Linked DNA regions of Canis lupus familiaris. Each later gene encodes a partner of the first gene's protein in a complex. Links are inferred from orthologs where the notes say so. Each region holds a gene or a part of one and is shown on either strand. Other genes may lie near its edges. The genes, in order: NCKAP1, WASF2 and CYFIP2.

What was found.
Region 2: NCKAP1 (region 1) and WASF2 share a complex: the UniProt entries of both Homo sapiens proteins name them as parts of the WAVE2 complex. The link is inferred for Canis lupus familiaris from reciprocal best matches to the Homo sapiens genes NCKAP1 and WASF2.
Region 3: NCKAP1 (region 1) and CYFIP2 share a complex: the UniProt entries of both Homo sapiens proteins name them as parts of the WAVE1 complex. The link is inferred for Canis lupus familiaris from reciprocal best matches to the Homo sapiens genes NCKAP1 and CYFIP2.

The regions. Positions count from the first base shown.
Region 1 is NC_049257.1:26,348,592-26,352,240, forward strand, and holds part of NCKAP1 (nck-associated protein 1), read right to left. Parts: intron 3,500-3,649; coding exon 3,360-3,499; intron 2,506-3,359; coding exon 2,374-2,505; intron 161-2,373; coding exon 1-160. UniProt on the Homo sapiens protein: Part of the WAVE complex that regulates lamellipodia formation. The WAVE complex regulates actin filament reorganization via its interaction with the Arp2/3 complex. Actin remodeling activity is regulated by RAC1.
Region 2 is NC_049223.1:72,194,546-72,198,877, reverse strand, and holds the start of WASF2 (wiskott-Aldrich syndrome protein family member 2), read right to left. Parts: upstream 2,854-4,332; 5' UTR 2,769-2,853; exon of another isoform or gene 2,628-2,768; intron 1-2,627. UniProt on the Homo sapiens protein: Downstream effector molecule involved in the transmission of signals from tyrosine kinase receptors and small GTPases to the actin cytoskeleton. Promotes formation of actin filaments. Part of the WAVE complex that regulates lamellipodia formation.
Region 3 is NC_049225.1:53,724,687-53,728,335, forward strand, and holds part of CYFIP2 (cytoplasmic FMR1-interacting protein 2), read right to left. Parts: intron 3,560-3,649; coding exon 3,406-3,559; intron 2,415-3,405; coding exon 2,258-2,414; intron 1,724-2,257; coding exon 1,627-1,723; intron 1-1,626. UniProt on the Homo sapiens protein: Involved in T-cell adhesion and p53/TP53-dependent induction of apoptosis. Does not bind RNA. As component of the WAVE1 complex, required for BDNF-NTRK2 endocytic trafficking and signaling from early endosomes.

The DNA.
Region 1 (3,649 bases):
TTGAAGAAGAACGTTGTTAAACACTCTTGTAATGTCAATTTGCACATAGTTTTCTATGGACTGTAGTACAGTCATATATGCTCTTACACTTGTTAGAAGCTCTGATGGTTTTGCAATTTCCTGTGTGGCTTGATTATACATAGTCATTCCAACAATTGACCTGTTGGGGGTGAATAAAAGAACTGACTTTTCCATTTATTAAGCAGGCCATTTAACCTACTGGTAGCAAGAACATTAATTTTAAAGACAATTTGTTACAAAGCCATGAAATTACTATCATTATCTCCAAAAAAAATGAACACCTAAAAGCTACAATAAAGTAGAAATATGATTTTAAAAATTCTAAGGACATCAATATTAAAAATGATTTAAGGATAAAGAGGGCTTAAAAAAATTCCTTAACAAGATACACTGTCTATAGCAAGTACAATGGATTATTTAATCCACAGCTCAAATTTATCTGGCACTCTAACACACCAGTAAGCTTTATACCGATCATTCTCATATTTAATAACTCTACTATGTAGTTATTATCACCACCATTTCACAGATTTAAACACCACCACCACCACTACCTAAGGCTCAGAACTCAAGTAAACTGAATAAGGTCACTTTGTTTGGAAGTAGGGGGTCTAGGGTTTGAGTCCACATCTGCCTGACAGTGCTGCCACTCAACAAAATGCACAACAGTCAAACAAGGCAACAAAAAACCTCCCATGTTGTTTTTTAATCATTTGCAGCACACAAAACACAGTTCTGTTATATTTATACCCCAATGAACTATAAGCCTGAAAGGAAACACAAATTTTGAAAATACTTTCCTACCTGTTCTTTTCCTATGTTGGCCACCCCATCTTACCATCTTTAAAACTCTGAGCTTTGGATCTGTAAAGATCTTAAACTTGTGTTTGTAAGGATAAATCCTTAAAGACAACATCAAATTCCATCAATAGAAACAAACCCCAGAAGATCAACTCAAGGCAATAACTGCTATCCTTGCATATAACCCCTCAAGTTCCAAGACTGTACTCAAGTGATCAGCAAAAATCAACAAACTAATGCAACCTATTGTTTTGGCATGAAAATCTTTCCCAGGTAAACAAGTTTACAGCCTTGCTTTGATTCTGATAACTAAGTAGATGTTTTGTCAAAAGAACATCTGTTTCTCTATGGATTAACAGACCAGACTACTTACAGAAGGAAAACAAGGGGGGTGTAAAGTCAACCCTATCTTCCACCCACCATCCTCTCATTCCCACCGAGTTGAGAATAATAAATACCAGAGTGCATAATGTCCCTTTGGTTTAAAAACTATTCTAGGTTTCACTGTCAGAATGCCTGCCTTACTAAAGGATAGCAAAAGACAGTCTTTGTTTAACATCTCACTAGGCAACTGATGACTTAACACACAATTTAGTACCCACTTACATATTCTCCTATTTTGTTCTCTAATTGTTGTAGCCTTCTCACAAACTATAGCTCTAAGCTTTATACTATTTCATTACTACTTACAGGACCTAACACAATGTCAAGCACATGGTATAAATACTACTTGTTAACGACCACAAAACTGAAAAATCTTCAGCTAAATTTTGTTTTATAAATTGATGTTCAAAGAAAAACTTCTCAAATCAATCAATATTTTCTTGAATAAATACATGTGTAACTTTAGAAAAAAGCTGAAGCAACATTTATAAAACTGAAAGGTTTCTGATATCACATGCAATATGACTTCAAGAAACATATATAAGACTTATAGAACTCTAATTAGGGGTGCCTCAAGAGTCTAGAATTCTACTGACCTAAGAGCATACATGTGAACTCAGAAAAAAACAAGATATCATCTAGTCCTGATGGTTTCAAACATTTGACTGTGACCGACTTATAAGATATGTATGTGGCATCATGACTGGGTACATATATACATATAAGTGAAAAATTTCATGAAGCAGTATTTATACTTACTACATGCAGTGGATGATTTTTTCTATTCTTGTTTCTTTTCCTTCCCTGCCTCTTCTTTCTTTTTTTAAATGTTTACTACAACCTTCTACATTGATTTCATGACCCGACTTGGTTGCTACCTACCAGCTGAAATATACTGATTCGCTTCAATCTTCTCATTTTACTTATAGGGAATCTAAGGCTCACAGAATTAACTGGCTTGTCCGGTGTTAAAACTGGTTAATAACAAGTATGGGACAAGAATCTGGGTAACTTAAGTGATTCCTAGTTCACCACTCTCTATACTTCCCCATTCATTATTCTTGATACTATATCAGTTCTACTACTACTTTTCCTCGTAACAAGGATATGAAGTACATAACAAATTCATTAACTGAACCAACAAAAAAGTTTGTTATTCTTTCTTACTTTGTAAAGCGGATTTCCAGATGAGAAGTCAAATATTCTCGTGGGGTAAAAGTATGTTCCCAAACCACCATGTTTGGTACATAATTTATAGAGAAACACAACTCAGAAAGTGCAGTGTGCAATTTATCAAGGCTGAAAAAATATTAATGAACAGTAAATGAAATGTTCAATGTTTCATCATAAAAATACAAAATTACTTTTATAAATGTATCAGATCTCATTTGGGGATAATAATTCCAGAATTCAGTATTTTTCTTCCTAAATTGACAAGTTCAAAATCTTTAAGGATATCACTAACATGAGAGCAGTTTTCTAAAGACAGTATCACTCATTTGTTTCTCCATTCAGATGACAATTACATTGATTTAATATACAAGAAAGTTTATTACATGCTCATAGACAATCTTGCTGTACTTTCTGTATTGGAGGACGAAAGTTGTCTACAAAATGGCAAACAGCTTGCTCAACATAAAAAAAGCCAAGAAGTAAGAAATTTACTTTAAACAAAACAAATGTTCATCCATTATTGTCCACCAATGCCTACCCTCCAAAAACACAATCCTTAATATCTAGTCTGATATACGTACTATAAAAATGATTTATGTTCTAATACAACAATATGCCAAAATAAAGTCTCAGATTACCTGCTTTTTAATAAATGGAAAATTATGGATTACTTATAGTGTATCCTCCCAATTTTTAGACAGATTTTTGGCCTTTTGCATTCATTATATATAGACAAATATTACCTATTAAATGAATTTTCTTTAAATCCAAAATTTTCAAAAATCCAAAATCTGTATTTTGGAAATAAGCACTAATTATTCAAATACACAAAGGTAAAATAATAGTAATAATAATGATGATACTTAATGACAAGAAATGAAGAATTTACAACTATGAGCATTCCCTCAGTACTAATGCCATACAAAAAGTGAAAAACTTCTACTTGTAACAAAAAGATACAATAAAATTGGATGGCTTACTTGGTCACTACCAGCCTGTTTTTCCTCATACTCTCAACTCCTGGCTTTTCCCTTTCAGGTTCCCCTTTCTTACCAGTCTGTTTTTTTGACTTCTTATTCACTGCTTGACTAATGGTTTTGGCACAATGCTTGGGCAACAACTAAATTTAAAAAGAAATTAAATCTTATATTACACCAATTATTTTGAAAAAACATTAACTATTTAAGCAAATCTCAGCTGAATCCAGACAAGGTAGCAAATAGCATCTAGCACAAAGAACAGAGGCATATGTGAGATGCAGTTTACCTAC
Region 2 (4,332 bases), on another chromosome or scaffold:
CATAAAGTACATGTACTATATCCCTTTTCTAAAATCCCAAAAATTTTTTTAAAAATTAAAAAAAATAAAATCCCAAAAATTCTATATGCAAAAAATATCTAGTCCCAAGAACTGTTTCGTTTTTTGGGGTTTTTTTTGGCCCCAAGGTATTTTGATATGGTATGCTAAGATTAAGTCTTAAACAGGCTTATACTAAGTCTTACTAGTCTTATAACTAATAAAGCAAATGAAAATAGATCTTCACATACAATAAATTCAATGCCTTAACAACTATTCACATACACAATCCTGTAAAATGAAGCATCAAAAAGATTTTTAACAAATGTCAAAACTCAAGCACCATTACGTTTTTTCAAGTGACGGTGATATACATCACCCAGTATCTAAATCAATTCTTCTTAGGTTGAAATTCACTAATTTAAATCATAGTTAAGACAGACCAAAAGACTGCAATTGGTTACTGAGGAAAAGAATCAAGGGACGCCTGGGTAGCTCAGAGGCTGAGCGTCGGCCTTTGGCTCAGGGCGTGATCCCAGAGTCGCGGGATCGAGTCCCACTTCGGGCTTCCTGCATGGAGCCTGCTTCTCTCTCTGCCTGTGTCTCTAAGTCTCTCTCTCTCTTTCTCTGTGTCTCTCATGAATAAATAAATAATCTTAAAAAAAAAAGAAGAATCATCCACTGGTGAACAACAAACTCAGTAAAATGTTCTGATTTTAAGAAATTTATCTCAGGTTTCATACCTAAAATTTTTGCATTCTAGAATACAATTCCTCAACTTTGAACAAATTACAATGGACTTTTCCTGTGAAAGCGGGGCCTCAGACACGGACAGCAACAGGGATTGCTCCTAAGATATTTGAACTGCAAGAAGAGTTTCAAAGTTCTTTCCTTCCTTCCTCCTTCAGTTGCTGCTTTTCTGGTTTTAGAATTTCAAACAAAGAAATACATATTGGCTCCACTGCTAAGAAACGCCCTCTTTCTCAGCAACTTCCTCTTCCAATTTTCTTCCCCTATCATTGACACATGAGAACAATACACTCTGCCCGTCCTACCATTTTGATTAACCAAAAGCTGAGGCTTGAAAAAATTAAGGGCTACAATTTATAGTATCCAGCTACTAGTCTTTGACTCCAGGTCCAAAATCTTCACTCATCTAGAAGTCAGATAACAAGGAACACAAAGAAAGGAAGGAATATTATTCTTCATCAGAGGCAGGGTACTGAAACTTTCGTTCCAAGAATCGGAAGAAATTTGAACAAATGGAAAATTTCTCTCATCACAAGAAAATTTAGCTTTCTTAGGGAGGAGGAAAAGCTACTGACTGGGCTGGCACCACTCTGAACCAAGAGTCAAGTCTAAACACCAACAGTTGGTGAACTTCTACAGGTCACTTGGGTCAGCATCCAAAATGAGTTCTTTGAGGTTTTGACCTTTTACACTTCACAGTAACTTCTACAATTTAGAAATGGTCCTTTCTAACTTACAAACCGAAGAAAAGGAATGCACTTATAATTAGCAATCCGGAGATCAAGGTCCAGCCTGTCTCCATGCCATAAGTCAACTCAAGTGTCTGGGACCAGACCCCTCCCCCCAGTTGTGACAAAGCAAACTTCTTTTAAGTGGACAATGACTTCCCCCTTGTCTGGTGATTCTCAAAGGAAATCACCTTATGGTTGGTAAGCTCTGTACCTCACCATGTGACCCTGGACAAGTTACTTAACTCCCCTGAAACTCAGTTTCCTTATGTGTAAGTTCTCAACAGCCGCTGTAAAAATTCAGTAAGAACATAAGCCCAAATAAGCACTGGCACATAGTAGGAGCAGCATAAACGCTCCCCCTCCTATTCCTAACCCACCAAGAATTCTTTTGGGCCTAAATTTCAATCATTGTCCCAAGAAGCCCCAAGGATGCTATCCTCTCTTCTGATGCACTAGTGTATAAAACTTTGCCATCTCAGAGGGTCTAGGATCCTAGAGGATCAAGACAATCGGGAGTCCACCTCATCACAGTCTGGGGTCCATCCAGAGCTTTCACGGAAGAGCCCCTCTGGCCAACTCTCCTCCTGACCCTGCAGAACCATCCAGTACACATATATACGCGCACACACGTACACACAGTCCTCTCCACCACTCCTCCTGACCTAGCAGGCCAGAGGTCTCAAAGAGCACTTCAATTCCTTCACGGCCCAGAGATGGAAACTGGGGAAGAACTTGCCCGAGATCTCGGAGAACATCAGAGATCCAACTCATGTACAACTGCCTGCAAAGCCTTCGTTCTACAAATAGGGAAACTGAGGCCCAGAGAGGGAAGTGACTTGCCCAAGGTCACACAGCGAGTTAGTGGCAACGCCAGGTCAGGTTGAGGGCACTTTCCAAGCCTAGCAGATTTGCGGGCCCCCTCCAAGTCTCCGAGGGGATCTCCAGGACACCTCACCCCTGCGGAGGGGAGTGTACAGTAAGAGGCCACCCCGCGCTGACCGCTCGCCCGGCCACTGCCCGTCAGCGGCGGGAGGCGCGCCACCGACTCCCCGGGGACCCCGCGAGGCTCCGGGCAGGGGGTAGGCGGTGGCGGCGCGGCCGGGCCCGGCGCCTCACGGCGGGGCCCGCCCGCGGGGACTTGTTGCTCACCTGGTCGCGCGCGGCCGCCCTCAGAGATAGAGGGGCCGACCAGCCGCCCTTCTCCGCACGGGGTCTGTTCCCGCGGGCCGCCTCCCGGGACGCCGCACAGCCAGACCCCCCTCAGCGCGCTACGCCCCCAGCCGCGCTCACCCGGCCCGCGTCCGCCATTACGCGATTCCCCGCCCTGGGACGCAGCCACACCCCGCCAAAGGCCCTGATTGGCTCCCTGCCCCACCCTCCTGGGGCTTTCGGGCATTCCATTGGCCTGAGTCGAGTGCCAGTTAAATAGCTACGCAAAAGACGTACTCCCGGGCAGCGCCTGGGGAGCTCCACCCGAGCTACTTCCGCAATCGGAGTAAACAGCGGGGGGGCAAACCAAGTGAAGTGGGGGTGGAGATGAAGCGGGATCAACTCCTAAATTCAGGATAGGAAAATCCCACCGAAGAAAGTGGGAAAACTCGTACAAAGTGTATTGAAAGATGGGTTCTTCTCGGAAGAGTTCAAAGAACCAGGATTTTTGGTGTAAAAAAGAGGGCTAAACCTCTGAACTTTCTGTGGACACCCCTCAAGTTGCAGGTAGTTTTGTCCCTTCTCCCCCGGTCTCAGGTCCGACTGAAAGGAGGGTGGGGAGCGTGAGTCAGAGGCTCCTGCCCGCCGCTAAACGGTTCTTCCGGGGCGAGGTCTGGGGTTTGGGACCGGGAGCTGGTTCTGAGAGGCCAGCGTGAGGTGAGCAGGACCCTGGTTCGGGCGCCACCTCATTCTGCGACCTCAAACAACTTCCTGGACTTACCTGGGTCTCAGTTTGTCCTTCCGCAAAATAGGAGCAGTCATGTCTGCCTCCTGTCCTGGCATATTTGTTGAGGCCACGTGCCTGAGTTGGGTGCATGTTCGGTTTTTGGGGTTTTTTTGTTGTTGTTTTTTTTTTTTTTAATTCTAAAAGGCTGCGGCTGGATATCAATGTGACAAACTCACAAGTTAGCGATAATCTCTCATTTAGTTCTCTACAGCTACTTTGTAAGGCGGAGACTTCCCTCCTTTTGCAGGAGAGAAAATTGAAAACTCCACGACTTAACCTAAGTCACCCAGGGAATTTGAAACAACCCTAGGAGTCAAGCCTGTATCTTTTGTCTTCCATTTCTGTATTTCTCCCCACTCCCCACCCCCCAGGCTTGGTGTCCCCTGAGAAAGACTTTCCAACACCAACCCTTTAGCATTTCAGGGGCCAGGCCAGTCCCCATTTCTTTGGTCACCATAGGCCGCAGCTGTTTCCAGGGTCCTAAGAATCAGGACGTGAGTAGGGGATGACAGGTGGGTCAGCAACCCAGACAGAATCCCAAACAAGGACACAGAGAGGCAGTGACACATTGAGGGCCCTCAGCAGGGCAGCCTCCATGCCAAGACTTAAATCCAGGTCTCTCTGCTCTCAGAACAGGGCTCTTTTCATTGCAGGATTGTTTTTCCCAGAAGGGCTGCCTTGGCTGTAATTCCTATTCCTTTTCCCTCTCTGGAAAGGAAGGAAGCCAAGATGGGAGTGGGAGGGGAGCAGCCTAAGACTTTAGAAGGGCAGAGACCACCAAGTGTGTGGTGCTGAAAGAGCCTCAGTGCTGGCTGAGTCAGTGACCTCCAGGCTCAAATTGGGACATGTGGTCTGACAACCAATGACTATTTAAATCGTGACTGTGGCCATTGAGTGCTGAGAGGCAGCAGGTGCTGT
Region 3 (3,649 bases), on another chromosome or scaffold:
CCTTTATAAACAAGAATGTTTTATATTTCTATGATATTTTTACCTAATTGGCCTCATTCTGTGTTTATATAGCCCCATGCAGTTAAGGAAGAACCCAGACTATCATTCCATTTCCCAGGAGGCAAAACTTAGAAATTTCAGTAGCCATCACTACTATTGGCCTCGTCCTTCCATGTGGCAGGATTGTACTTCCTTGCGCCTCTCCGTGAAGGTGATGCAGTCATGTGACTTGCTTTGACCAATGACATGTGTCATTTCCAGGTGGAAGTTTTGAAGTAGCAGTAACACTTCCTCCTGCCATGGCAATTAGTGAATGTTCCATGTGGGTCCTGACTCGCAGACTACATGGACCAGAGCCCACAACCAACCCATAAAAGAGAAATAAACCTTTGATTTCAAGGTACTAAGAATTTGTAATTATTTGTTACTGCAGCATAACCTAGCTTATCCTGACCATTACAGAAATAAAGCCATTGAGTGACTAATAATAAACAGCTTAATAGTTGAGATAAAGGTTACTTCAATCCTACCACTCTACCAAGTGACACTTTACACTGAGTGACCTTGGCATTATGATAACTGACCACTTTAAGTCTAAGACTAATCTGTAAAACAGATTAATAGTATATACCTCCTTAAATTGCTGTAAAGGTTATTTAAAAAGTTGTTTTAAAAGCAAATGGTGAATATATAATAACTGATAGGTGATATTGCTGTTATTATTATTAACAAAATGTTCCAACCATAAAAGATTCATTAGAATATTAATATTACCCATGCAGTTTTACCATTTGTTATCCCTTAATATATCTGAAAAAGAAAGACCATCATCTTGGTCTGGGTCCTTTTTGATGATCATGATTTGTTAAGATCACTCTCCATATAGTGAATGCTATTATAATAGCATTGTACGGGGACAGATGGTAGCTACACCTCTGGTGAGCACAGTTATGACGTACAGAATTGTAGAATCACTGTGTTGTACACCTGAAACTAATATAACATTGGGCATCAACTATACTGCAATTTTTTTTTTAAAGTCATAAAAAGAGATCATTCTCCAGAACAAGTCACTGATCCCACATTGCTATGGTCTGAATATGTGTGTCCCCCAAAATTCATATGTTGAGATCCTAACCCCCAAAAATATTAGGCTGTGGGGCCTTTGGGAAGTGATTAGGTCATGAAAGTAGACTCTTCATGAATGCGATTAGGGCTCTTGTAAGAGAGAAACTAGGGGCTCAGTCAGTTAAACTTTTTGATTTTGGCTCAGGTCATGATCTCAGGGTCGTGGGATCAAGCCCCCGAGTCTGGCTTTTTTTTTTTTTTTTTTTTTTTTCTCTCTCTCTCAAATAAAATCTTAAAAAAAAAAATTCTAAAAAGACCACAGAGAGCTCCCTCACCCCTTCCACTATGCATACAATGAAAAGTCTGTGACCCAGAAGGATGCCCTGATCTAGACATCTAGCCTCTACAACAGTATTTTTTATAAGCCAGTCTGTGGATTTTTGGTATAGCAGCCTGAATGGACTAAGACAGCCCACTTTGTGCCAAGAGCTACAGATTTAAAAAGTCCACATTGTTGGAATAAGATTATAGGAACAAAAGGAGATGCGGGTCACTTGCCTCAGCTTCAATCTCATCATACAGGAACTGCTTTTTAAACTTGGTCAGAGCATAGTAGGCGCTGTCATTGTACAGGTCCAAAGGGTAGAGGACGTACCTGAAGAGAGAAAAGCAGAGACCAGCAGCTTACTAATCAATCTGAAAGCAAGTGGATTGGGAAATATGAAGGTTTGGGTGAAAACATGAATAAGCTTGGGGTTAATATGAGGGAGCCTTCCAGCATTCTGAGGTTTCCAAATTGCCTTCGGAATGCCTTACTTTACAGTCTGCCTATAGAAATCAGAAGTCCATGATGTTAATAAATCCAAGGCCTGAAACAATTAGTCTGGGACCAAAAGAAATCAGGTGGCAGTTAAGGATATTAGCTTCCTGGTCCCCAGAGATGACTATCTTCCAAGCATAGCTGCCTGACACTGACAGAGCACAGGAAGGGCAGTTGGGCTGGTATAATCCTGAGCCTATCTGCAAGGCTGAGTCAAATCTGGTATGACCTGATCCTTGGCATGAGCGCTTTTCCTAGTGGGGCCACACTGTCTCATCTCGAAAGTTCTGGAAAGAACAGAGCTCCCTAGCAAACTGCCCTCCCTCTGCACCCTGGGAACCTCCTTGCTGACCCAATCCTGCCTCTTACTCCATCATGGAAGGTTCTTTGGTTTCCAGGATATGGTCTGTTAGAATCCAGGGCATGGACATCTCAATTGGGAACTGGATTCGCCGGCCCATGGTTAACTCCAGGAAGAATTCTCGGAACCAGAGCTGAGAGAGGTCACAACATTGCTGCAGGGCTTCTGAAAGCATTAAGGAAAGAGCAGTGGGTTATACAGAAGAAGCACCAAAAGATCTTTGTTCCTATTAACTTGGTTCTTATTGCTTTTGCTATTTCTACCACTATACTGGAGTACAGCAGGTACTCATAAATATGACCTAATCAGTAGATCCTGCTCTTTTACCTGAAGGTCAGTCTAATATCTACTTAGAAAACAGTATCTGTTAGACTCACAGTAGCAGCCCCATGGTGGAGGAGAGCAGTGACATTTTAAAGCTTTCGATGCCCCCATAATCTCCATCGTCCTCCTACAAGGCCAACCTGAAGACCCACAATCTTAGTGGAAAAAGTGTGCTTGCTATCCAAACATAGTGTCAAGCCAGCTCCCCAAGTGCCCGCTTTTCACTGCTCCTCGTCCCCTTGTACATAGTAATTCTGGTTTTTATCCACTTAGAAGCCTTGAGGGGCCCTGGTCTGTGCTCTAATGGAGATGTCTGGATTCGTTAAGGTTACTGTTCTAGTACCAACAAATGCATTACCACTCCTGGGTCTCTGGAGGCTGCTGTCCTTCCCCCTGCCCTGTCCCACCTGCAGAGGTGTCCTGCTAATGGGAGAACAGGACTGGGGGACACGGCTTGGGGTCCAGCTTGGAAGCCTCCTTTGCAATGAGCAACAAGACTAATCAGCACAGAGCTGCTGCTTAAAAGCTAAGGCTTAAGATGCCTGGTTGCATCTGTGGGTATGTTGCTGGATTTAATCCCCTTTACTAAGGACTTCATGACAAATAAACCACAAATGTCTACCAGACAAATTTAGCTGAGTCAGAATAGCTGAACTGAGCCTGGCCTTTCCAAGTCCACCAGAAAGTGTGCATTTTTTACCTCGGTGGCGAAACGTGCCCTTCTGGCCGATGACCACATTTCTTTGCAACTTTTGGTCCAACAGCCTTAGTGGGTCTGGGACCTGCCCCCACCCAACCGTCCTCTCCCCACTGCCTGGATAGCGTCACTCACCACTGATATTGAGCAGGTGTGTGAAGAAGAAGGACTGTTTGTGGAAGTCCTCTATGGCGAGGACAATGGGTCCATCAAGGCTGCTCCTCAATGTCTTCTTGGAGCCACTCTTGTCTGCGATGAGCGATTCAAGCATGGTCCGCACCATGTACAGCTTGAAAGAGAAAGTAGGAGGAGAAGGTCAGGGGCTGGCCCTCTATCCTGGGGTAAAGGTTTCTTTGTGCTGTGTTTATATTTTTCTTTT